Alligator mississippiensis: one gene and its partner. The protein of the gene in region 1 interacts with the protein of each later gene in a biochemical or structural test. Links are inferred from orthologs where the notes say so. Each region holds a gene or a part of one and is shown on either strand. Other genes may lie near its edges.

Evidence for each region.
Region 2: of the proteins of MALT1 (region 1) and RELB, one has a biochemical effect on the other in vitro, tested with the Homo sapiens proteins (2 studies listed by BioGRID). The link is inferred for Alligator mississippiensis from reciprocal best matches to the Homo sapiens genes MALT1 and RELB.

The regions. Positions count from the first base shown.
Region 1 is NC_081826.1:282,800,107-282,812,366, forward strand, and holds the start of MALT1 (mucosa-associated lymphoid tissue lymphoma translocation protein 1), read right to left. Parts: upstream 5,275-12,260; 5' UTR 5,245-5,274; coding exon 5,084-5,244; intron 3,122-5,083; coding exon 2,955-3,121; intron 1-2,954. UniProt on the Homo sapiens protein: Protease that enhances BCL10-induced activation: acts via formation of CBM complexes that channel adaptive and innate immune signaling downstream of CARD domain-containing proteins (CARD9, CARD11 and CARD14) to activate NF-kappa-B and MAP kinase p38 pathways which stimulate expression of genes encoding pro-inflammatory cytokines and chemokines.
Region 2 is NC_081838.1:223,894-236,101, forward strand, and holds the start of RELB (transcription factor RelB), read left to right. Parts: upstream 1-7,359; 5' UTR 7,360-7,433; coding exon 7,434-7,488; intron 7,489-7,567; coding exon 7,568-7,621; intron 7,622-7,987; coding exon 7,988-7,996; intron 7,997-9,033; coding exon 9,034-9,536; intron 9,537-9,944; coding exon 9,945-10,102; intron 10,103-10,931; coding exon 10,932-11,023; intron 11,024-11,520; coding exon 11,521-11,652; intron 11,653-11,975; coding exon 11,976-12,080; intron 12,081-12,208. Other genes in the region: putative lipid scramblase CLPTM1, read right to left, coding at 1,812-1,900, 1,989-2,234.

The DNA of each region.
Region 1 (12,260 bases):
AAGAAAACAGAACTGGGCCCAGTATTTTTCAAAAGTATTATAGAAAACCCATTTTACCTTACAAGTTAGAAGGTAAAAGTTCACCTCTGATTTTCCTCACTATTGCTATTATATTATTTTTCCCAGTGGTAAAGTAGCTAATTCTATGATTTGGTACTCGATACCATAAAATACGGTTGGATTCAATAGACTCAATTTAAGCCTCCATCTTAATTTTCCTATTTTAAAAGCACAAAAAGCCCATTAGTTCTATAGCACCTAGGAATACAAATGGAGACTCGGTAAGTAGCCCATTGTTACCTACTGTACAAGATCTACAATACAATGAAGATCATGAGTTCTCTGGAGCAAGATTATCTGCAGGTCGCACAGAAAACAACAGGCATAACATATGAACAGGGCAGAGATATACTAGTAAAACGAGGTAACAAAAGGATATAATTTAGCAGGAAAGCAGAAGTCCTGGTTGGACGTGAATGATTTGCTGGCATCAGAGAAGGTTCCAAAGATGAATTTAAAAGAGGAAATGGTGGCAAAGCTTTATAAATGGTAACACTGAGAATTTGCCATGCATCACAACAATAGAGGTGCCAGAGTCCATTTAATTTAATTTAATGAGGATTAAACTCCATCATGTGTACAAGTGCCCCAGTAGATCAACAGGCAGCCTAAACTGCTGTGATGGGTAGAGGGTTCTTGCTAGATTACAAAATGATGAAATGCTAGATGGTGCTAATAGCAGCCATCAGAGGAATTGCAGAACCCAAAACAATCACAGACCTCAGTGAAACCAAGGATGGTACAACAGCTCTTTTTCATTTTCAAGACAGAAGGAACAGTCAAGTCCCTTTACATGGTAAAGCCAGCTGTGCTCAAAGCAGCAGCCTCTCAGCTGCCACCAGCAAACAACCAGTGTGCCACTAGGTCAGAAAAACCACCAGGATCACAAAGATTCTTCACAAACACTGAATTCAGTTTCACGTGTGCAATGACGACTCCCTCAAACTGTCCTCAGCTTAACCCAGGGGTTGGAAGCCTATGGCCCATGGGATCCAGTTAACAGAGCCATTTGATCCCTGGACATAAGGGCTTCGGCAGCAGTTGTTCTCCACTTGTTGCCACTGGGAAAAGCATCAGCAGCCTCTTCTGGTCCAAACTGTGTCAAAATCAATCCAGCACACAGCCTTAAAAGGTTGCTGACTGCTGGCGTAGCCTGTCTCACTGCTGATTTAAATGCATAACTGAGCGAATAACTGGTAAAAGCTAGGGCAGGGCAGGGCAGGGCTGCACCTTAGAGGAAACGGACAATTCCTAGCATCTCAAGGTAGCTGTTCCCTAGGAAAACTCATGCCTCTCAGAACCAGTTAGTCCCAGGTGCCACCCTGCCCAATTTCAGACTAACATGACTGATCACATGACTAATCAACTGCCTATTTTTAGTCACTTATTTGAAAACACCACTGGCCATCTACATGCAACTTAGGGTAACTGCAGATTTCACCTGAACCCAGACACCTCACTTAGCTAAGCAGGGCATGAGCATCTACACTGCTAAGGTATTCCCACGTCATATCCACTTAGGCATGTTCACACTGGTACTGCTCTAACATGGGGTAGACACTAAGATTGCTTTGTTCTTAGCATTGCACCAAGTTGTGCTGCTCTACTAACTGTTTCACAGCAAATTTTTGGCCAACTTTTCTGCTTTTCCAGGGGTCTACGTGAAAAGACCCTCAGCCTAAAAAACTCAGTTAACAAAAGTAATTCTGCCTCTGCATGCTTCTCATGTTTTTCAACAGTTACTGTTCCAGCTGTTGCCAAAGCATGGATACAGCACAGAATCACGACCTGTTCCAGCCATCTACATTAAAGCAACATCCATTTCTGCAACTGAAAGCAGGTAGAAGGCATGAAACATTTTAGTAGTACCTTCTCACCCTGAGAAGGCAAAGGTATGATTCAATGAGAAGGTCATGCCAGCAGCATAGACAGAAAACTAGATTAAATACCACTTAGTAAGTGGTAAGTGACTGAGCACAGGCAGATGAAACATTTAAAGCAGTGTAATCAGTGTTACACAAGTGTGAAAAAAACAACAATAGACAGCTGACAAGCTCCTAAAACAGAAGAGCCATCCAACCCAGTGAGCATTTACCTAGGAATCAATGTAAATACCACCACCTTAGGTTTCATCTACCCAAGCGCATCACAGGATAGCCATCTGACACAAGCCAGCAGGCCAGGGCTTGCTCCCCCATACAGTGCCAAGGCACAGCTACAGCCACCTACTCTGTAAACTATTCCAAAACAGCTGCTCCCCTGGCCATTCCCAGTTCCAGTGTAACTTATGATCAGCATTCAGAATTAATGAAATTACATTAGGGTATATATTCTTTTCTGAGTCCTTGATTTTACAGTACTCAAAAAAGGAAGTCTGGGTTCAAAACTCATATACACCCCAGCAAAAACAACGTGCATGGGGGCAGGACGTTACAACCCAGGTTGGATCTCCTTCATATAACACAAGAAGAAACCAACTTCCCAAAGCTGTGTGTGGCTCTAACTGCAGTAGTAAAAGCCAACTTTTAAGATAAATAAGTAAGCAAACTGACTATCTCTGCTCTCAAAGCACGTGCGTGCACGTGCACACACACACACACTTCACAACAGATTTTTTCCAACCCTGTTTTGCTTCCTCTGTTCCAAGCAAGTTAATCACTCTGGATCTTCTATTTAAAAAATAACTTCAAAAGACACTTAATGAATGAAACACACTGATTATGGAAGCTGATTTGATTTCCAAATCAGAAATGTTTGTAGTGTTTAACTAGAAACTCATCTGTAGTTGTTACAACGTTTAACTAGAAATTCTTCTACTCCCCACAAGGAACACACACACATCTCAAGATGATTTCCAGCAAAGGCAAGTGATGAATTGAAAAACCAGAACTGACCTGGGGGATTAAGGCACTGGAGAGCTTCTGTGTGTTCCAGGGCCTGCAAGAATTCCACCAACTCCAGCACAGTGCAGCCCCTTTCACCCATTAGTCTCAGAAGACTCCAGCTCGGGCTTCCTTCTGGCTCCAGGACTTTGAGAGAGCATTGTTCCAAATCCAGAGAACTGCAAGCATGAAAAAGAAACCAATTACGTAAAGGGTCTTCTCAATGTACATTTCTAATCCTCTTTAAGAAGTGAATTATAACCCATTGGGAAATCATTTACGTCTTCTGGAAGCATGCTGAGCAGGGGTGTTAAATTCATCTGGGCCCCAGGGCTCCTTTCAAGGTGAATCATAGAAAAGTAAGGCTGGAAGGGACCTCCAGATGTCATCTAGTTCATACTCTGCTTGAAGCAAGATCATTCCCATCCAAGCCATTTTATACAATTCATTCTCTAGCCCATGAGCAAAACTACAGTCAGCCCTGGCCCAACTATGAGACATAACACCCTAACCTACCCACAGGTAAAGCAGGAAGACCATGGACTCATCTCTAGTGACTGGACGAGCAATAGAGGCATTGTGCAAGCAAGACTGTCAATTCAGGAAGGTACGGGGATTAATTTAGCTGTCACTCACTCCACCACGACTGACAGGAGTCCCCAACAAACCTCTATACCCTGGAATTCAGCAGTGGGCCCCATGCCCCTGAATTCCCAGGAGCCCTACAGGCCGGATGATATGGCTCTGCAGACCAGATCCAGCCCACCAGCCATATCTCTAATGCCCCCGATTTATCCCAATCCCAATCGGATTTCAAAGCAGTTGTAATCTGTGTATAAATCACATACTGTGGCTTAAATGAAACCACTTGAAGTAGAAGGTGGAAACTAAATGAACCAGTTAACAAAGCACAAGGGATCTGTGTATCTTAAAATTCTAACCAAATACATCAGGTAGGCTCCTAAACATGTAGGCAGGACTTCAGTTTTTCGGATGAGAATTTAAAAAGTGATCACAGACTACCTTTCCATTTACGGCACACCTACTTCAGAAACAAGTAAAGAATGAGTCACCCACTCAGGATTTCACCTATGGTTCCAGGAAGACTTTGCATTTCTGTGCTGATGGTAAGATCTTTAAGATGTTCAATAGCTTAAGAGTAAATTCAGTCAATGTTTGCCACTTGCCAATATGCAACTCCGTCCTACTGTAAATCTGTAAAGCCGGATGTAAAGAGACTCATACATTTAACCTTTGTTTTTAGGCCCACAGAGCTCTTTCTAATCAGAGACAGGACTGTAACAACAATTTTCAAAACACAAAGAACTAGAGGAGGAACATATTGATGGAAAGATTATATCGAGTCACATGTCACCACAAGAAAGTTTCACTGAAAGTTCTTCTACCCAAGTACAATTCATTTCCATTTTTGTGCATTAACAGATAAGGCGCTTCCTTCAGTACAACCACACTACTGTGGCTGGAGACTCGAGAACAGTAATTATAGCTCAAAGCTGTGGCTCTTTAACATATGTGCACATGCTTCAAAGGAGACATGTTCACTTTACTTTGTGCTGACCCTGGAGTGGGATGGTGAAACTCATTGAAGCCTCCACTGCCACCAGGACTCCTGTTTTGGAGGGCACCACCAGGCAAGCAAGATATAAAGAAACTAGCTGGAGGAGAGTAACAAGAAGTACACAGCGTGATCCATGGGGGGAGGCTGCAGGAACTGGGGTTGGGGAGTCTAGAAAAGGGCAGATGTGGGAGGGACAACAACCATCCCCCCATGACTGGAGTGTGAGGAGCAGGGACAACCTTCCCCCCACGCCCCCCTGAGTCCCCTTTCGGGGGAAGATAACAATGATCCAAGAGGTAAAAGACCAGCTGCTCTCCACGCCCGCTACCAGGAAGGAGGGGAAGAAACTGAATCGGCAGCAAGGGGGAGTTAGGTCAGACGTTAGGAAAACAACCTGTAAGGAGGCAGCCCTGGAAAGGGACCACCGCCGGACCTCAGCCCCTGGAGGGTTTCAGAGCGCAAGCCAGACAACCCTCCCTGGGGGCCGGAAGCGCCTGGGGCTCGCTGGCCCACCAGAAATGAGGACGAGGCGAGGTGGCCCCTCGCTCCGCCCGCGCCTCACCTGAGCCGGACCCTGCCGTGGGTCCCCGCCCGCTGCGCCAGGTCCCTCCAGCCCTTGCCCGGCGCGGCGCGGTCCAGCAGGGCGCTGAGCCGCCGCAGCAGCGGCTCCCCGAGGCGGCCGAGGGGCAGGGACCCCGCCGCGGCGCCCGGCAGCAGCGACATCGCAGCGCACCCGGCCGGAGCCCTGGGACTCCTGTGACGTCACAAGCGAGGGGCGGGGCCCGAACCCGGAAGGAACGTGGGGGGATTGCCCGAGGAGGCCCCCACGTGTGCCCGCCCCGCCCCAGCCCCGCCCCTCGTCGCCTAGCGCGCTGAGACCCGAGCAGGGGACGCCTGCGGGGCCTGGAGATCCTGTCAAGGGTGCTCAGCCTGTTGGCAAGGGGAGCCGGGCAGATCTGATTCACAAGAGAAAGCCAGAGAGATTTCAGTGCCAAAAACATTCTGCTTTTTCTAAGTGCTTTGCAATAGAATGGCACAAGTACAGCGGTTCCCCATCTGCGGTATTATATTATAACATATAATTATATTAACAGCTTTATTATAATTACTTCATACGACAAACATTTGCTGGTGGTACTTCAGATTGAACTGAAAAAATTGCTGGTGGTACTTTGTATCCTTTTAAATGGGTGGTGAGTTTGGGAACCGCTGCTCTGTTACTTTTCTGTAGTGGAAGAAGAACCAGCATCTTCTGAGGGCTGTCTCCAACCTAGCCTTGAAGGTTGACAGCCACTGGCCCAGGTATTTAGGGGAGGAAGAGCTGTAAAACTCCAGCCATGCTCCAGAGCTGTAAAACTCTCCTAGGTTACCAGCAAGGAGCAGCACCGACATGGAGATGAAGCATACAGACAGGCACAGAGGCAAGGATTTTTGTGGGTGATACGTTTTACTGGACTAACTGCATGGTTGGGAGAGACAAGCTTTCAAATGCAGGAGACCTGAAGAAGAATGCACTGCATTCAAAAAGAAATGCGAAACTCTAGAACTGCAGCTTCCCTCCAAGACTACGGCAGACATGCAAATGTATTTGAAAGGTTTTTGCTGTTAGGCATATCAGAATTTTAATCTGTCGAGGAACTGTTAATAATCTAATAAAATAAAAGAAATTGATAAGACTCACAGGGTTTGTGGCATCCCCACAGTAAAACAGAAAGGGAGTTTAGAAGCATATATGGAAGTGAAAAAACAACAGCCACTCTTGCTTTGCATAGGCCTGGAGCAAATAATAGCATTTCTTGTGCATTTTGTGACGATAGAAATATCTAAAATGTGGGACAAGCATTTGGCCTGCAAAAAAGAAAGGAAAGGCAGAGTCATCTCGGGGACATAAACCAGGGAAAATTAACTTTATGGTTTAGAGCTGTGGTTCTCAACCTTTCTTGTATCGAGACCCATTTGTAAATATTGATGGCCAGTCCCAACTCAGTAAATAGTTTAAGTAGAAAACAACTGCCTGGCCCTGCCAGTGTCCATCACCCCCCCACTGCCCCAGCCCTGCTGGTGCCCCTCACTCCTGACCCACTGCTCCCAGGCTCCAGTTCCCCAGTGTGTGGGGGAGGGGGGGCAGGGGGGGCACATTTCTCCTCAGATTTGTGCACCCACGGCAGGCATGGGGCTACAGCCTGGCCAGACTGGCATTGGCAGGAGCTGCCCTGGTGGGACTCTATGTGGGAAAACAGAGTGGGATGGTGAAACTCACTGAAGCCTCCACTGCCACCGGGACTCCTGAACCAGTCATGGCACAAGCAATGCAAGGAGTAATGGATGGGACGGACACACACCTCACCTCCTCCCACCACCACCCACTCTCAGGCCGGGCCTCTACTCTACCCAGCTGCCAGGCCCTGACCACCGCTCCTGCAGCTTCCCTCAGGCCACCCATGCTGTCCACCACCCCACTTCCCCTCCGGGGTAGAGCCACAGTGGCAGTGGCCAGGCCATGACAGCAAGATAGAGCCAGGATCTGGCGCCCGAGCGGCTGGCAGTGAGAGGAGGTGAGGGCAGTGCAGCCCCCAAGTCTGTTAGTCCTTATGCTGCTGGCAGCATGGCTGGTATGGGGGGCCCAGCAGTGGTGGCAGCAATAACAAGTCTCACTACCCCACTCTGCTTCACCACTCTGGGTCCTGTCCACTGGGCCACAGAGGTGGCTCTCCTTGTGCCAGTCCAGCAAGTCTGCAGCCCCATGCCTGTTGTGGGTGTACAAATCCGGGGCAGGGGGGAGAGCATGTGCCCACCCATGCCTCTCTTATGTGTCACCTCTGCTCCCCCTGTCTCCCCGATGTGCCGTCTATGTCCCGTCCCCTGCCCTCTGCCCCATAGACTGACCTGTGGGAAGCTACGGGAGCTGCTCTCCACACTGCCTGGCTCCCATGTGCATGCCTGTGCACACATACGCACATAATGCCCCTGTCTGATCACCCTCCTTTCACTCCCCCCAGCCCAAAGCAGTCCCTTGCAGGCTGGAACTCTGCCAGCCTGCATGGGGAAACCCATGGTTTCCCATGTTTTTCTCCTTTAAAGGAGAATCCATTTTTAAAGTTTGTCTGTGACCCTTTCATATATTGCAATCCACTTTTATGTCGCGACCCACAGGTTGAGAAACTCTGGTTTAGACCACTATTAAGCATTTATACCTCTGGCCCCTACTGTTAGGAGAAATGACAACCTTTCTTCTCTATCCTGTGAGTGACTCGGTCAGTGGGGCATGAATCTACAACACTAATTGTAATCTCAAGCTACTCTTCAACGGCTTTGAGAGGCTTTGCCTGTGAATCCCATTAGAAGGTGATATTTTTGTGCCCGGTTATGTCTGAGTGACCTCTCTTCCTTTCCTCTTCAGTTGTTCCCTGAAGAATTGTGTTTGCTAGGACTGCTATTCTGGTCGTGTGGCCAGAGCAGTCCTGTCTTCCTACTGTTGCAACTAGGAGCTCAAATAATTCAATTATTGAATTGCTGCTTCTCTAATAGAGTTCTTAGTCCATAGATATGCTATATGGTATCTACAGAACTCTTTGGAGACAACAGAATTCAAAACCTTGAATTCATTATCCTGTTGCTGCTGTAAGAATCCACGTTTTCAATCCTTTTGAGAACTCAGTCATTTTAAGAAGTTCTGTCTAGATGCATTTCATATGTTTTTGTCTCTCAAGCTTTCTTTCAGTTTTGTTAGTGCTACAGTCATAACAGCAATTCCGCTTTCCATTTTCTATCTTTTGTTATAGAAGTTCTGATGTACTTGAATACATCCACTGGTTTGATTTTCTTACCTTTGGAGTAAATTTCTGATTGAATATAGAATTTCCCACAAACATTAAGAAGCTTGCATCTGTGCTAACTTTCATGCAGGATTATCTAGGCTTCCTGTTGGCTTTACTAGTTGTAGTTCTGTTCTTATCAAATCAACATCATTTGCAAAATTGAAGTTACACATCTTCTTCCTACTGTTAGCTGTCCCTTTCAAATTCTTTGATGACTTCTGACACAATACATTCTGGGCAGAGTTGAACAAACATAGCAATAAGCAAAATCCCTGTCTGATTCCAACTGTTGCATGGAACCAGTCACTTGGTGTGCTAATCTGCAATGACTGCATTGTTGCAGTGGGCTGTCACTATTCGTTTGCTGATGTTTTGCTTCTTACCCATAATACCCCTTGCTATGGATGGACTCCATACTTCTTGGAGTCTATGGTGTTCTACGTATGTTTCACTCTGTGCTCTTAAGGAGAAGATATTTCCTGTTGTTCAGCTCTGAAACATGCTTATTGTTCTCCAGGTAAGATTTCTACTTGAAACCTAGCTTGTTTAGAAGGATGCATGGTAATACTTGGCATCTACGTTTGTAGTGTATTTTTTCACATTTGAAGGTTCCCTGGGGAACATGGAATGATTTCCATAGGTGGCCCACTGGTCACCTCTCTGACTGCCTGATCATGCTGCATATATTGTAACAATTTTACAAAATTGTAAAAATTTGTAACAATTTTACAACAATGGCATCTCTCCCCTTTTTTTGCATTTCAGCAGATATAGTGTCTATTCATCCTGACTTACCATTTTAAGATTTCAAACTTCTTTGGCTTTTCTGAATATGGACAAATCCTCTTCTCTGTGTTATTCACTTGCTAGACTGTTGCAGATGTTAGGAACAATATGTAGACTGTGTCTGTATAGGTCCTCACTGTGCTCCTGCCATCTGTCTGCAACTACTTTCGCCTCTGTCTGAAGATGCCTATTTTTGTCTTTAGTCACAGATGCTTTTTCCTGTTTCATAGTCTATTCGTTTATTATACCATGTACCCTGTTAATGTTGTTTTTCAATCAGTTGTATTCAGTGTTTTGACTCCATCTGTTTATTCGGTTTTCCTTTACTCTGCAAAATTTTTGTATGATATTGCTAGTCAGGCTCTAATTCTCTGCTTCCTTTCTTCAACAGTAGCATTTAGGTTTTAGTTCCCTTCTCTAATCTCATAGATCTAGAGGATACCCCATGGCTGCCTTGTCTTCTCTGGTCTTCCTAGAACTTGCACAATTTGGTTTAGATATTACCTGAAGCCAGCTGTTGTTTCCTTGAAATCTTCCACCATCGAGACAGGCAACTCTTATCTTAATTTGTCTAGAAACTCGGCTCAGGTCAGACCAGGGACAGGCAGTTATTTTGGGCAGAGGGCCACTTACTGAGTTTTGGCAAGCCATCGAGGGCCACATGACAGGCAGCCAGGGGCAGATAAATATTTATTTTCTGAAATTTTTAGGGGCCCTGTGGGCCAGAGAGGACCACCTGGTGGATCACATCTGGCCCACGGGCTGCATCTTGCCCACCCCTGGGTCAGACTGTCCTGTAGCTTGCCCAGATCATGCTTTTAACCTGGGATTTCTTGCTGGGGTTTCCTCTTGAGTTTGATCATTATTGGCAATATGAGAAGATCATGATCACTCATGTCAGCTCCTGTGAAAATGTGCACCTTATGTGTTTTGATACTGGACTGAAAGCACTTCAGTGTTGGAGTAGAGTCCATTTAGTTACTGTATTCTCTCCTGGGGGGTAATCACATTGTTTTGGATTGTATATTGTTGGGACCCAGGGCAGCCGGCCAGCAGCTTTCCCTGACTCCCACCCGAGCAGATAAGGGTTCGGGGCCTTAGAAGGCCGTTAGGCGGGTACTTGTGATGCGTGGAGTGGAATTAATTAGGCAGACGCTTATCGGTTGCAAAGCAAGATTGTTTACTTACGTCAAGGTGATGTAAGACGGAGGTTAGAGATACTTAGTTAGTTACAGCTTAGAGATCGTTGTTTAGTTATTCTGCAGATATATATATACGGGCCGGCGGTCGGCTTATTGGGCATGCGGGGCAAGGGTATGCCAGGGAGGTCGCGGCGGGAAGACGCTGACAACTGATCAAATTGTCAGATTTACTCCAAGGTGTGGGCAGAGTTGTTTTCGACTTTGCGAAAAATGTAAGCGGGTTTTGTTTGTATGATAGCCAATTGTTTTTCGCCACGTCATAAATCTAATTAGAATCGCCAATTATCTAGCGGTCTTTGCTAGGGTGTTATTTTCACAGGGTTACTCCTTGTTTTCTTTGACCAATTATAATGATTTATATAAAGCAAAGAAGGCAAAAGTTTTTCTCTCTGTTAGTGGCGCAGCAATAAATTTCTTTTTGACATGCGCAGAAAAAAGCGGTTACTATCATTATTGTTAACCCTTAGTTAACCTAGTGCAGAAAAAACTTTTTTAAATGGTTATTACTTGTTTGTGACATGGGCACTACTTAATTTGGTTGAGACATGCCCTCTTGCCCATGGCACAGCAAGTAACATCATGTTTATGTACAGACCATTTTGTTTATCATTGTTAGTATTTGGCAAGCGGGTGTATACAAAAGCAAAAAGCATGGTTAACTTTGTTTTGAGATATTGTAAATTTCAACAGCTAAAACACACAAATATAGCAATTGATAACAAAAGCATAATGAAGGGTATTAACAAGTTGAGGAACCATGATCACGTGTTACACCCAAACCAACGGAAGAGGTTTGATAGCCAACTTTGGCCTATACCCGAGAGTTGGTTTGGCGTTTTTTGCAATTTTTTTTATTTTTTTGTTTAAGACTGTTGAAACGCATTAACCTTGTTATACATTACTACTTGCTTTTTTTTTAACGATTTGACACTTCCTGTCCTTCATCCACCTACGACATATAATAAGCCTTTACATTTGTTTTTTGTGCTCTCTCGTGTTTTAGTTAAGAAACCAAACTAAAAAGGCAAATTTTTTTTTCTCTTTCATTTAATGCTTTTGTTTACACTCGACCTTTTTGCGACATCCCCCAAACCTTCAGATTATTAATGCTGGGTTTTTTTAATAATTCAGAGCTTTCCACTCAAAACATTATGACTTGGCTTCACTGCATAAAGTTTTGAACAGGCTTTAAAACAAAACAAATATGTACAAGATTATTAACAGGAAAAGAAAAACCATAAAATGAATCGTTACTTGTGTTTTTGGCCTACAATGACAAAAGGTTTAGGACCGAGTTGGAGGTTTTGAAGTTAGCTTTGTTCGCCGAGAAATTTGTTGGTAACTGCAGGAATAGAGCGACGACCCTGCTTTGTGACATATGAGCAGGCAGCCATTGTGGCGTTGACCCGGGTGTGTTGCAGGTTGGTGGTTGGTGATTTTTGCGATTAGGCAGTTACAGATTGCTTTTTCATTTTTGCTGGGCCTGTAAGGGGACAAAACAGACGAACAGACAAACAAACGAAGAAAAGGGTGGCCATACTCGGTGAACAGCATGGCGGCGAGTTAGCCAGTTGTGATGAGCTATGATGAGCGACCAAGTTTGATCGCCTTTTAGGAGCACAGAGTAGGAGCCAGGATACTGCTTGGGTTTGCAGATGACTTTTTTGTGCACTCGCGGATGTGGTTGACGATGGTGTGGTGTTTACGGGTGAGCTTTGGCTTTTATGGTTGGGGCTTTTGAAGCGCTAGTTCATAGATGCCCCCTTCAAGTAGTTTTTTGTTAGGGCAGGCTGCGGTGTTATCCGGAGTGTGCTGTTAGGCGTGGGTGCCTCCGGGGCCTGGACCAGTTGGCAGGATCGGTTGAGATTGGTAGCCTAGTATATGTGCCAGTTGTTGTTATTTCGCATTTTTTAGGACGTGTAGCCGTTGTTTG
Region 2 (12,208 bases), on another chromosome or scaffold:
CCAGAGGGGAGGACTCAGCCCAGTCCTTTAAAAAAAAAATATCGTTTTGCTTGAAGCCTAGTTTAAAAGGGCTCGGCCTGGAAACATCTCTAAAATTCCAGCCTTGAGATACTGACCTCAGCCGAGAAGCCCAACGGACACCTGCATTTGCCCCTCAGGACTGTCTGGTCTGGACAGGAATTGCATTAACTCAGAAGACTTCTGCTTTGGCTGGGAACTCTCAAGCCCAAACTGCATGAGATCCTCCATGACCCAAGTGCTTCTGTTCCTCTGGGACTTATTTCGTCCCCTTTACTCTCTGTGCTCCCAAACTCCTCCTACTTCCCACTTCGCAGTCAGTCTGCAACCCGCAGACCGCACAGCAATCTGTGACAGCACCGCAACGCACATCCTATCTGACGCTGCTGTGTCACGTGATGCAGTCAGGCAGACTCCACCACCGCTCCAACCCTGGTAGCGCGCGCTCAGACAGATTTGTTCCAGGGGACGACCTGGCTAAGCCGAATTCTCTCCGCTTGCTACTTGACGGGAACTCTGCTCGTGATCCCTTTGCAACAGGAACGTTTGGGCTCAGCTGCCCGCTTCTGGAGGCAGGGCAGTCTCTGGAAGGAGCAGCCCCCAGCCTTCTCCAATCAGGTTGCAGCCAGCGCTGCCCACTGAGGCTCCGGAAGGGGTTGGAGGACTTTGTTCCACGACAGACTTTGGATCCTTCTTCACGGCTGCTAAAGTCTGTGAGAAAGCATGACTGGCTCCTTAGGAGGAGAGCGGGTCACTTGCTCCCTGCAGAAATTGCACTCCTTTGAGGCTGCCAAACACTGCAGAAACCAATTGCTGACTTTCCTTGCGTTACAGGGGTGCAAACCTACAGCGCCAGTGCCACGGAGCCCAGGCAGCCTCCGTGTGGGGAGATGCAGCAGACAGGGGGCAGGCAGCACAGTGGGAGATGGGGTGGGAAGTAGACAGCAAAGCAGCAAGTGTGGCAGGGAGCAGACGGCAAAGAGCAGAGCACTGAGGAGCATGGGACAGATGGCAGAGCAGCAGATTACGCCATTCCTGACCATGAGCCAATGCCCAGACAGGGCTACAGGTCCCTTTAATAAGGGCAGGGGGAACTAAAGGCCCACCAGCGAAGGCTGGGGACAAATACGATACAACACAGAGATGGGAGGGGAGGTTGGTAACGAGCGCACCGAGCACGGACACGCTGGACAGTGCCCAAGGAGCCAGCGGGTGCTGCCCGGCGAGGACAGGAAACGGCCCCGCGGCCCCCAGGGTCCTTGCGGCCACAGCCTCCCTCCCGGGCAGGCAGATGGTGGCTGGGCCAGGAGCAGGCCGAGCCAGAGGTGCTGTGGCTTGCGAGGGCCACGGGCAGGGCAAGTGCACGCAGACAGGTGATGGGCGGCAGTGCAGGGGCTGCAGCCCCGCGCCCCCCAGGGCCTCCCCCGCTCACAGCAGGGGCAGGGGCAGGGGCCGGCACCACCGCAAACCGTGCCAGGGACGCGCCTGCGGCTCTGGCCAGACGAGGTCCCGAGGGCACCGGGGATCCAGGTGGAAGAGGGGCCGCCCGCCCGCCGGTCCGCGCGCGAGGAGGCACGAGGGGCTGGGGAGCAGTCGATGGGCCGGGGCGCAGCGCCGAGCGGTGAACGGGGAAGGGCAGCACAAAAAGGGGGGCCGAGCGCCGAGCGGGGCCCGGGGGGGCACAGGGCAGGGAGCCGAGCGCCGAGCGGGGGAGGGGCCGGGGGCACAGGGTAGGGAGCCGAGCGCCGAGCACTGGATGGGCCGGGGGCACGGGGCGCGGGGCCGAGTCTCACCGGAAGAGCACGCCCTTGATGACCTGCCAGGCGTTGGGCGCCGCAGGCGGCGGCTGCTGCGGCGGCGGGGCCGTCCCGTTACTCGTCACCTGCGGGGAGACGCGCTGTAATCCGGGGGCCGGGCCGGGCCGGGCCGGGCCGAGGGAAGGAGAGGGGAAAGGAGGGGGGGGGCGCTACCTGTTCCGGGCCGGGCACGGGACCCACCGCCCCCTCCGTCTCCGGCGCCGCCATCTTGCTGCGCCCAGGCCCCGAGCCGCTCTCGCGAGAACTGCCCCCGCCATGCCCCGCCCGCGCGACGCGCCGCTTCCGGGGCAAGGGACGCCATTTCCGGCCGCGGGGCGTAGGGGCGGGGCCTGCAAGGCTGCAGCAGGCGCCACGTGGGAGGATCCCCTGCGACGCCCGGGGGCTGGCACGTGACGTCATCCCTGTCCTGGGCTTGTGTCAGACCCAGCGCGGCCTAGAGCTGGGGTCAGGGGCCGGGCTCTCCCGGGGCATCCGGAGCCTCCACTGCCAGCCTCTGCGAGCGCCAGCACAGGGAGGCTGTAGCCTCTGTCCCGGGCAGGACAGGGCAGGCCTGGTCGTTTCGCTCACAGGCCGAGGGTGTCCAGGCTGGCTCGCACGGGGCCAGTCCTGCCTCAGCCCGGGCTGCTCCGGACGCGGAGCCCCTCGAGTGCGGCCGTTCCCACGCCGGGTGTCGCAGCCTCTGGTGTAACCAACCTCCCCCTCCCCCTCGTCTTCACGCTGCCCCACGAGCCCCGGTCTCCTCTGCTTCCCTGCACCCCGCGTTGCCGGAGGCGGGAGAGGCCACAGGCAGCCCTGCTCTGGCTGGGCAAACCGAGGGAGATCCCGGCCCTGGCAGCAGGAGCTCATTTGAGTCGGGTGTCGCAACTCCCAGAGCCAAAGCTTGGCCCCATTTGATGGGGGTGTTGCCCTGACACCAGTGCCAGGGGTGGGAGAGGTGGCCGTGACACCTGGGGAGGCTGAGGCCAGCTCAAACTAGTGCCAGGGTCTGCGGACAAAGGGAGAGTGAGCTCAGTGCCAACATTTACAGAAATACCCAGATTTTTGGTGTCACGTGTTCTGCACGAAGCCCACGCAGCCTGGGCTGCGAGCACAGCGGAAGATGGGCAGCGTCGCGGTTAAGGACGAGGCTTGCTCGTGGCTCAAAGGCCAGTTTTTCTTAGTGCAGCCATTTAGATGTTCCTGAAAACCGCTCTGCCTTGCGAGGCTCTGCAGCCAGGCTAGCAAGTCAGACAGGGCCTTCTCGCGCACGGCTCCCCGTCCTGCCAAGCCAGGTGCCATCATAGAAGAGCCACGTCGCTTTTTGGTGCACAGTGTGGGTGGATGCAGGATTTTGAACAGTGGGGTGTGACGCACGTTTGTGTCTAGTTAAAGAAAAACTAGAGGCTTAACTAAGATGAATATACCTCCTCTGCTCGCACTTGTAGGGAGGCAGTTAGGCGGGCCAAGGCTACCATGGAGCTGAGGATGGCAACCCAAGTAAAGGACAACAAGAAATTGTTTTTTAGATACATAGGGAGTAAAAGGAAGGCCCAGGGAGGAATAGGACTGCTGCTAAATGGGCAGAAGCAATTGGTGACAGACAGGGGGGACAAGGCTGAACTCCTCAACGAGGTCTTTGCCTCAGTGTCCCTAAGCGAGGGGCACGACAAGTCTCTCACTGGGGTTGCAGAGAGGCAGCAGCAAGGCGCCAGACTGCCATGCGTAGACCCTGAGATGGTGCAGAGTCACTTGGAAGAACTGGATGCCTTTAAGTCGGCAGGCCCAGATGGGCTCCATCCGAGGGTGCTGAAGGCACTGGCCGACATCACTGCAGAGCCACTGGCGGGAATATTCGAACGCTCATGGCGCACGGGCCAAGTCCCGGAGGACTGGAAAAGGGCTAACGTGGTCCCCATTTTCAAGAAGGGGAGGAAGGAGGACCCGGGCAACTATAGGCCGGTCAGTCTCACCTCCATCCTAGGCAAAGTCTTTGAAAAAATTATCAAGGCTCACATTTGTGAGAGCCCGGCAGGGCAGATTATGCTGAGGGGAAACCAGCACGGGTTTGTGGCGGGCAGATCGTGCCTGACCAACCTAGTCTCTTTCTATGACCAGGTTACGAAACGCCTGGACACAGGAGGAGGGGTGGATGTTGTATACTTAGACTTCAGGAAGGCCTTCGATACGGTATCCCACCCCATACTGGTGAACAAGTTAAGAGGCTGTGACGTGGATGACTGCACGGTCCGGTGGGTGGCGAATTGGCTAGAGGGTTGCACCCAGAGAGTCGTGGTAGATGGGTCGGTCTCGACCTGGAAGGGTGTGGGCAGTGGGGTCCCGCAGGGCTCGGTCCTTGGACCGATACTCTTTAATGTCTTCATCAGCGACTTGGACGAGGGAGTCAAATGTACTCTGTCCAAGTTTGCAGACGACACAAAGCTATGGGGAGAAGTGGACACGCCGGAGGGCAGGGAACAGCTGCAGGCAGACCTGGATAGGCTGGACAAGTGGGCAGAAAACAACAGGATGCAGTTCAACAAGGAGAAATGCAAAGTGCTGCACCTAGGGAGGAAAAATGTCCAGCACACCTACAGCCTAGGGAATGACCTGCTGGGTGGCACAGAGGTGGAGAGGGATCTTGGAGTCCTGGTGGACTCCAAGATGAACATGAGCCAGCAGTGTGACGAAGCCATCAGAAAAGCCAATGGCACTTTATCGTGCATCAGCAGATGCATGACGAATAGGTCCAAGGAGGTGATACTTCCCCTCTATCGGGCGCTGGTCAGACCGCAGTTGGAGTACTGCGTGCAGTTCTGGGCACCACACTTCAAGAAGGATGCGGATAACCTGGAGAGGGTCCAGAGAAGGGCCACTCGTATGGTTAAGGGCCTGCAGACCAAGCCCTACGAGGAGAGACTAGAGAAACTGGACCTTTTCAGCCTCCGCAAGAGAAGGGTGAGAGGCGACCTTGTGGCTGCCTATAAGTTCATCATGGGGGCACAGAAGGGAATTGGTGAGGTTTTATTCACCAAGGCGCCCCTGGGGGTTACAAGAAATAATGGCCACAAGCTAGCAGACAGCAGATTTAGATTGGACATTAGGAAGAACTTCTTCACAGTTCGAGTGGCCAAGGTCTGGAACAGGCTCCCAAGGGAGGTGGTGCTCTCCCCTACCCTGGGGGTCTTCAAGAGGAGGTTAGATGAGTATCTAGCTGGGGTCATCTAGACCCAGCACTCTTTCCTGCTTATGCAGGGGGTCGGACTTGATGATCTATTGAGGTCCCTTCCGACCCTAACATCTATGAATCTATGAAGATGCCAGGGACCTAGCACTGTGTTATTCTGTTTAAGATTAAAGCAAAAACAAATGTCATTTTTCCATGATTTAAATGAAACACCACTAATATATAGGTAGCTATATATTAGTGGTGTTTCATTTAAATCATGGAAAAAATGTTGATTTGGGGGTTGGTTTTTTAACCGAAAATGGGGGATTTTTTTTAAATCAGTGAAAACCAGGATCCCTGGTCATTAGTCTTGTAGCTTTTATAGTTAAATATGCATTTCTTACCCAGATTTGTAAAACAACATGTAGTATCCCTGAGCATCTTAACATCGTCTCCAGTACTTCACTGTGTCAGTCATTTCTAGACAAGTCAATCGCACTACCTCTGAGTTAAAATTTTCAGCTTGAACTAAAAACAGCCTACAGGGCTGCAAAATGGGAGAGAAGTTCCAGGAATGGCTAACAGGCATCAGTGCTGCAGAAGGAAGGAGAGTTTGAATAGTGAAACCTCAGGACTGTTCACAGGGAGAGAGTGGTTCACACCTGTGGAATGAAGAGCTATTAGGAGAGTATAATGGGCCATGAAGTCAGTTGATTCCCTCAGCTCTGCCAGAGGAGAAATGCCTCTGAGCTACCTGCAGCTACAGCCCTCCCCGGCCTTGCATCAGTGGAGGCAGGCTGGGCTCACTTAGTCCAGAGGCAGCTCAGATGCAGCCCCCTCTGCCCAAGGAAGTGACTGGGGAAAGCGCCACTCTGTGCCACGTACGTGCTCTGGGAGCCCAGCACGATGGTGCTGCCAGATGGGACAGGGAGGCTGGTCTCTGAGGTCATTTGATTTAGTGGTTCTCGGCCTTCTGCTATGATCAAGTATGACTGGGGGCATCCGATCCCCAGGCCTCCTGGCTCAGGACTTGTCTGTAGCTTGGCCACCTGGATACGGGGAACATCTAGACTCCCAGGTCTATGGGTCTGGGGGAGGTTGTCAGTGGGTGGCCCATGGATCTTTGCAGACAGTTACTGAGACGCAGAACTGAATTGGCACTTGGATTAGATTAAGAACTGGATTCATTTGCCCCCCCCTCCCCCCCCCGACACACACATTACACAAGGTCTCTGATGCAGGCGCCTGGTGCAAGGTTCTGCAGTGTGGTTGCAACCAAGGGGGTGTCAGATCCAGCTTCCTCATTGGGAGTTGATTTTCTGGTCACCTGTGCCTGGTGAGCCAGTCTGGAAGCTGGTCCCCCCTCCATGGGCTGGGTGGGGAGAGTGGGTTGGGGGTGGGAAGGAGGCAGGCCATGCTTCTCAGAGCACCTCCGAGCCTCCCGGGAGATCAGAGCGGCATGTGCTCTCCGCTGCAGAACCTGTGTGTGCCCCTCCCACGCCAGGGAAAGTGGAGGCTGGGGCTCCTTGGCTGGTTACCAGTCAGTGTTTCCAGGTCCCCCGGACTCCACGTGCTGACTCAGGCTGGGGCACTGCCTCGTGGCACCCTTCCCCCATGCCCCGTCCGCCCACCCACCCTCATTCCCAGGCCCTTCTGGCTTCACCGGGGGCTGAGGAACCAGCTGTGCCTTCTAGTCCTGTGCTGCTCTCACCTCTTCCCAAGGCACAGGGGAACTGAGAGCCCAGAGCCTCGGTGAGCGCTGAGCTCGGGTGTTGAGCATGGCTTTGCCCCCCAGGGCAGTCAGGGCACTTGGATCCCAGCACCGGAGCCAGGAGCTCTGCTGCTCTCTGCTGTGCCAGCTCAAGGCAAGAACGGCCTGCCGCGGCTCCCTGGACAGGTATCATGGGCTGCGGCTGCGGTGGGCACGAGGCTGCCCTGACCCCCAGCTGGCTACGTCTGGTGTCTGCTGCCCCAGGGACTGCGGGGCGGCCAGGCGTTCCCAGCCCTGCTGACACGGCCCTGGGGAGACGCCGCCTGCACTGGGCTCCGTCCTGCCGTGCTCGCAAGGGCCCACCGCTCAGCCCAGGGCACAGCCTGTGTGTGCCCCGTGCCCGTGTCCGTGTCCGGGCTCGGCTGCCCCATGCCCTGCCCAGGGCCAGGGCACAGCTGCCCCGCTCCCCGGCGTTCAGGAGCTCCGGCCCGGAGCCCCCGGCCCCGGCGGCCGTGCATCGGGCTCCGGTTCCCCTGGCGCGGGGGCGCGAGGCTGCGGCGGCCCCCCGGGCGCGGGGCTTTCCCCGCCGGGCGATGAGCTCAGCGCGGGGCGCAGCCAATGGCAGCGGCGGCGGAGCCGGGGATTTCCAGCGCCGCCGCCTCCGCGCTGCCCCCGGCGCGGCCCGGCGCGGCCCGGCCCGGCTCGGCGCGGCACGGCGCGGCGCGGCGCGGCTCGGGAGGCGATGCGGCAGCCCCGGGGGCGGCAGCAGCGGCGGGAGCGGGGGCCTCTGCCGCCAGGTGAGGCGCGGGGCCGCTGGGCGGCGGGCGCGGGGCCGCCCCGGGCAGGCGCGGGGTAACGGGCCTCGTGTCTCCGCAGGAGCCGCCGCCCCGGACCGCGGCCCGGCCATGGCGCAGGCGTCGCACGCGGACGGTGAGGGCCGGGGGCTCCGCTTCGCGCCGCGCCGCGCGGCCCCGTTTCACAGCAGGGGGGACTGAGGCAGGCAGCTCCCGGGGCGGAGGAGCTTTTGCTCCGGGGCCGCGGGCATCTCGGGCCCTCTGCATGCCCCCTGGCCCCCGCAGCAGAGGGATCCTGGGGGCTTCCTGCGCTGCCCCACGACAGCCTCAGCCCCCGTCCCCAGGAGCTCTCCCAGAGCAGGGGCAGCGCCGGGCGCTGGGCTTGGTGCCCGGGGGCTCCTGCCAGCCCTGGGTCCTGGCGGGTGGCTGGGCTCCTGGGCAGGGGGAGGGAGAGCAGCCGCCTGCGCCAAACTAGAGCCAGCCTCTCCTTTCTCTTCTGCAGAGGATTTAGGTGAGTGACCTCTGGGCGTGGGGGTGCGGCAGGAGCAGGTACGTGCAGCCCTGGGGCTTGCCAGGGCGGTCGCAGCCTGCGGGACCCGCTGGCTGGCGTGACGGTGACAGGGGACGGCGGTGCAGTCTGTGGGGTCGGGGCAGCTTCCAGCCCCTGCGCCCCCCTGCCCAGAGCCCAGGCCAGGGGACCCGTAGGTGCTGCCAGCTGCTGCAAGGCCATGGAGACGGGAGAAGCTTGCCGGCCCCCGCGGAGCCCTGGGGTCTGGGCAGGAGTGATTCCCCCGATGCGGCTCCACCTCTGCCTTCGGGCCTGTCCTCTTGGTGCCATGATGCAGGAGCTGGGCTGGGGCAGAGGAGCCCTACCCTAGGCAGACACGGAGCAAAGGCCACTCGCTGGCTGCCGCAGGTGCTGGCAGCGCCCTTTGCTGGGCGCTCGGGGAAGCGAGGCTGTGCCCAGCCCCTGCCCCTTCTCCTTCCACATCCACCTGGCAGCAGAAGCCTTGGCCGACTCAGCCTGGCTCCCCTGGGCTGGGTATGCCCTTGCCTGCAGTTCAGGCCAGCGACCCTGGCGCGCAGTTACTGACTGCTGTCGCAGGGCTTCATCTACACTAGGGGAGGAGTGTCCTGCTGGGAGGTGTTGGGTGGGGCCCGGGACTACTTCTAGCAGTGCCCTGGGCATGCCCATGCTGCAGCAGCCAGGCTGGAAGATGCCCCCCTCCCTCCCTCCCTGAGATTGAGTCCCTGGATCAGCTCCCCTGCTGCAGGGGCTGGGTGGTGCTGGAGCTCAGGCCAGCGGCTTTGCCCACATCTGTTACCTGGCAGCAGGCACGTGCCGGGAGGAAGGCGGGCATTGTGGCAGTGTGTGCAGGGCAGGGCTCAGAGGCCAGGGTGGGCAGCCCTGTGCATGGCTGTGGCTGGCAGAGGGCTCCTGCCACCACATCCCAATGCTGCCTGTGACTCGTGCCAACCCCTGGCTGCTCCCGCTGCCCCCGGGCAAGTCTCTGCAGCTGTGCCCTGATGGTGCCCCCCCCACCACAGAGATCATTGAGGAGCTGATGAAGGAGGATGGATTCCAGCCGGATGCCCCGTCCTTCCTGCCCAGGCCTATGCCCAAGGGCCCGGCCAAGTTGGTGCCCCGGGGCTCGAGCCCCATGGTGCCCACGAGATCGCTGCGCCACTCACAGCCTCTGGGGTCCGGCTCGCTGCCAGGGACTCTGGGGCCCTTTGGAGACTCCCCCCTGCTGCCACCTGTCTCCCGGGGCCCCCAGCTCACCCAGAGCCTGGGCAACCTGACGCTGTCGCCGAGGCTGGTGCCACGGGGGACGCCGCTCCCGTCCACCGCCGCGCCCGCCCAGCACCACTGGTCCATGCCCACGGCCAAGGAGCAGCTGGAGGACATGCTGGAGCCGCCCAAGCTGGTGATCACAGAGCAGCCGAAGCAGCGGGGCATGCGCTTCCGCTATGAGTGTGAGGGCCGGTCAGCTGGCAGCATCCTGGGCGAGAGTAGCACTGAGGCCAGCAAGACCCTGCCAGCCATCGAGGTGAGGAGGGGGCAGGGCACTGGGCAGGGGCCCTGTGCTCACCCCCTGCCCCCAATAGCTCCTGCTGGACAGCCAGGCAGGCCTGGCTGGGTTACCCCTCCTCCCCTCCCACCCCCACGATGGGGTAGGACCCTGGACCCAGGCACCATCACATCTCCCCCAGCCAGGGGCAAGTGTGGGGGCACCTCTGGACCCTGTGCTCCACTTTCTCGTACAATGAGAACTGGACTTCCCGCTGGAACAGGGCTGAGCTGTTTGGCCTGGCCTGGCCGCAGGGGACCCAACCTGCCCTGGGAGAGGGGCTGGGAGCCCCCTGTCCAGGGTGGGGGCCTGGTTTCTCTCCCTGTTATCCCTGTATCAGCCTCCCCCACCCCATCCCCCTGCAATGAGCCTCTGGCGTCTCCCCAGTTGCTGAACTGCCAGAAGATCCCAGAGGTGAAGGTGACGGCCTGCCTGGTGTGGAAGGACTGGCCGTTCCGTATCCACCCCCACGGCCTTGTGGGCAAGGACTGCAGCAATGGGCTCTGCGAGGTCACCCTCAAGCCCCAGACCAACCCCAAGCACAGGTACCAGCCGCGCAGCCCTGGGGGTTGGGAGACTCCTCCACATGGCCCCGTCCCGGGGGTGGCCTAGGCTCGGTATCTGGGGCCCTTGGACAGTCGTGGCCTGACAGCGATTTCCCAGTGCTGTGGCTTCTTCCTCGCTGTTCCCTGCCCTTGGGCTAGAACGGAGCCCCTGGCACCCCAGCCCCTGTCTGCTGGAGGAGCCGGAGCTGCGGTGCCCCGGGCTCCGTCCCGCTGGCTGGGGACCAAGCACCTCCCAGGAGCTGCTGCCAGGGGTTGGGGTGGGAGAGCCAGGTGGTTCGGGGTCCTGGCCCTGGGACCAGAGCAGCCCCTCCTAGGTTGCAGCCTAGGGGCACACACCAAGCCAGGGGGCCCCATGCGGAGGTGGAGGCCTGTCCAGGCAGGGCAGAGGCATGGGTACAGGGTCGGAGGGGCCTGGGGGTGTCCCCGTGAGGCCTTGGTGGGCTCCCAGATCCCCTCAGAGCTCCTCCCACCTGGCCTCTCAGCTGGCTGCCATGTGGGGAAGGTGAAGGGGCCCTGTGGAGCTGGGGCCAGGCAGAAGGTGGGGACTGGGCATCCCCGTGTCTCTCTCTGGGCCTGGGAGAGCTCTGAAGGAGGCAGAGGGATCGGAGGAGGAGCCCCAGGGGGAACCATGCTCAGTAGTGGCTGGACCAGTGGGGCCAGGGCTGGGGCTGGCATGGCCCCTGGGTGCTACATGGCAGCACCCCATGCAGTGGTGCCCCCTCCGTGGCTGAGGGCAGGGAAGGAGGGCAGCTCATGAGCACAACGGAGCTTGGCCAGCCTCCAGCCCATGCCCTCTTGGCCCTGGCAGCTTCAGCAATCTCGGCATCCAGTGTGTGAAGAAGAAGGAGATCGAGGGAGCCATCGAGAAGAAGCTACAGCTGGGCATCGACCCCTTCAAAGGTGGGTGACCCGGGGGGGGGGGGGGGGGGCACACCCGCTGCCTGCAACCCAGCCCAGCCCAGGAGCTCCGAGGGGATCTGGGAGCCCACCAAGGTCCCATGGGGACACCCCCAGGCCCCTCTGACCCTGTGCCCTGCATCCCAGAGCTCCTCTGCTGGCCTGGCCCCACCCCGGGTTTGCAGGGGGTGTTGCGCACCTGGTTCTGGAGGCAGGATGTGGAGCGGGTGGGTGGCACAGTCGAGTCGTAGCTCAGGGCTTGCAGCTGTCTGGATTGGGACCATGGGGCTGGACAGTCTCACTCTCCTGGTCCGGAATTGCTTTTTCCTTTGCGGGGAGGAGGTCCCCAGGCTCCAGAGGGACCCACGGCCTCCCCTCCCACTGGAAAGGGGGCAGGGACGGTCACGTTGGGGCCATCCAGGGTGGGGGGAGACCCTGTGCTGCAGCTGGGGGTGGGGGCACTCACTCAGCAGCCCCACTCGCTGCGTCTCCCCCCACAGCTGGCTCCCTGAAGAATCACCAGGAGGTGGACATGAACGTGGTGCGGATCTGCTTCCAGGCTTCCTATCGCGACGCCAGCGGGCAGACACGGCACTTCAGCCCCGTGCTCTCCGAGCCCATCTTTGACAAGAGTAAGTGGCCAGGGTGGGGGCTGGAGGGTGGCTGGGCAGGCTAGGGGCTGTGGCCGTGGCCTGCCTGGTACCTCGGCTTCTTGTGTGGGTCCCACGCGCAGGCAGTATCTGCTCGCCTGGCTGGCAGCTGCTTTCCTGTGTGTCCTGGCCCCCATACTGCTCATGGCAGACAGATGCTCCCATGCACTGGAGCACAACCTGGGGGATCGTGGTTCGCCACGGGTTTTGGACAGGCCTGTCCTGGTGCGGCTGGGGCTGCTCCCTCAGGCTAGGCTCCCATGCCATACCGCTGCCTCTGCTTGAGCCTGTGTTGGTGCACACAGAGTCCACCAACACGTCGGAGCTGCGCATCTGCCGCATGAACAAGGAGTGCGGGCCCTGCGCGGGTGGGGAGGAGATGTACCTGCTCTGCGATAAGGTCCAGAAAGGCAAGTGGGGGACTACAGCTCAGCCTCGCTGCCCTGGGTGGGGGGTCCTGGCGGAGGGGACAGCTCCAGCTGCAGCTCAGAGGAGGGGTGGGAGCCCGTCGAGGGGGCCTGGAGCTGGGGTCAGGAGG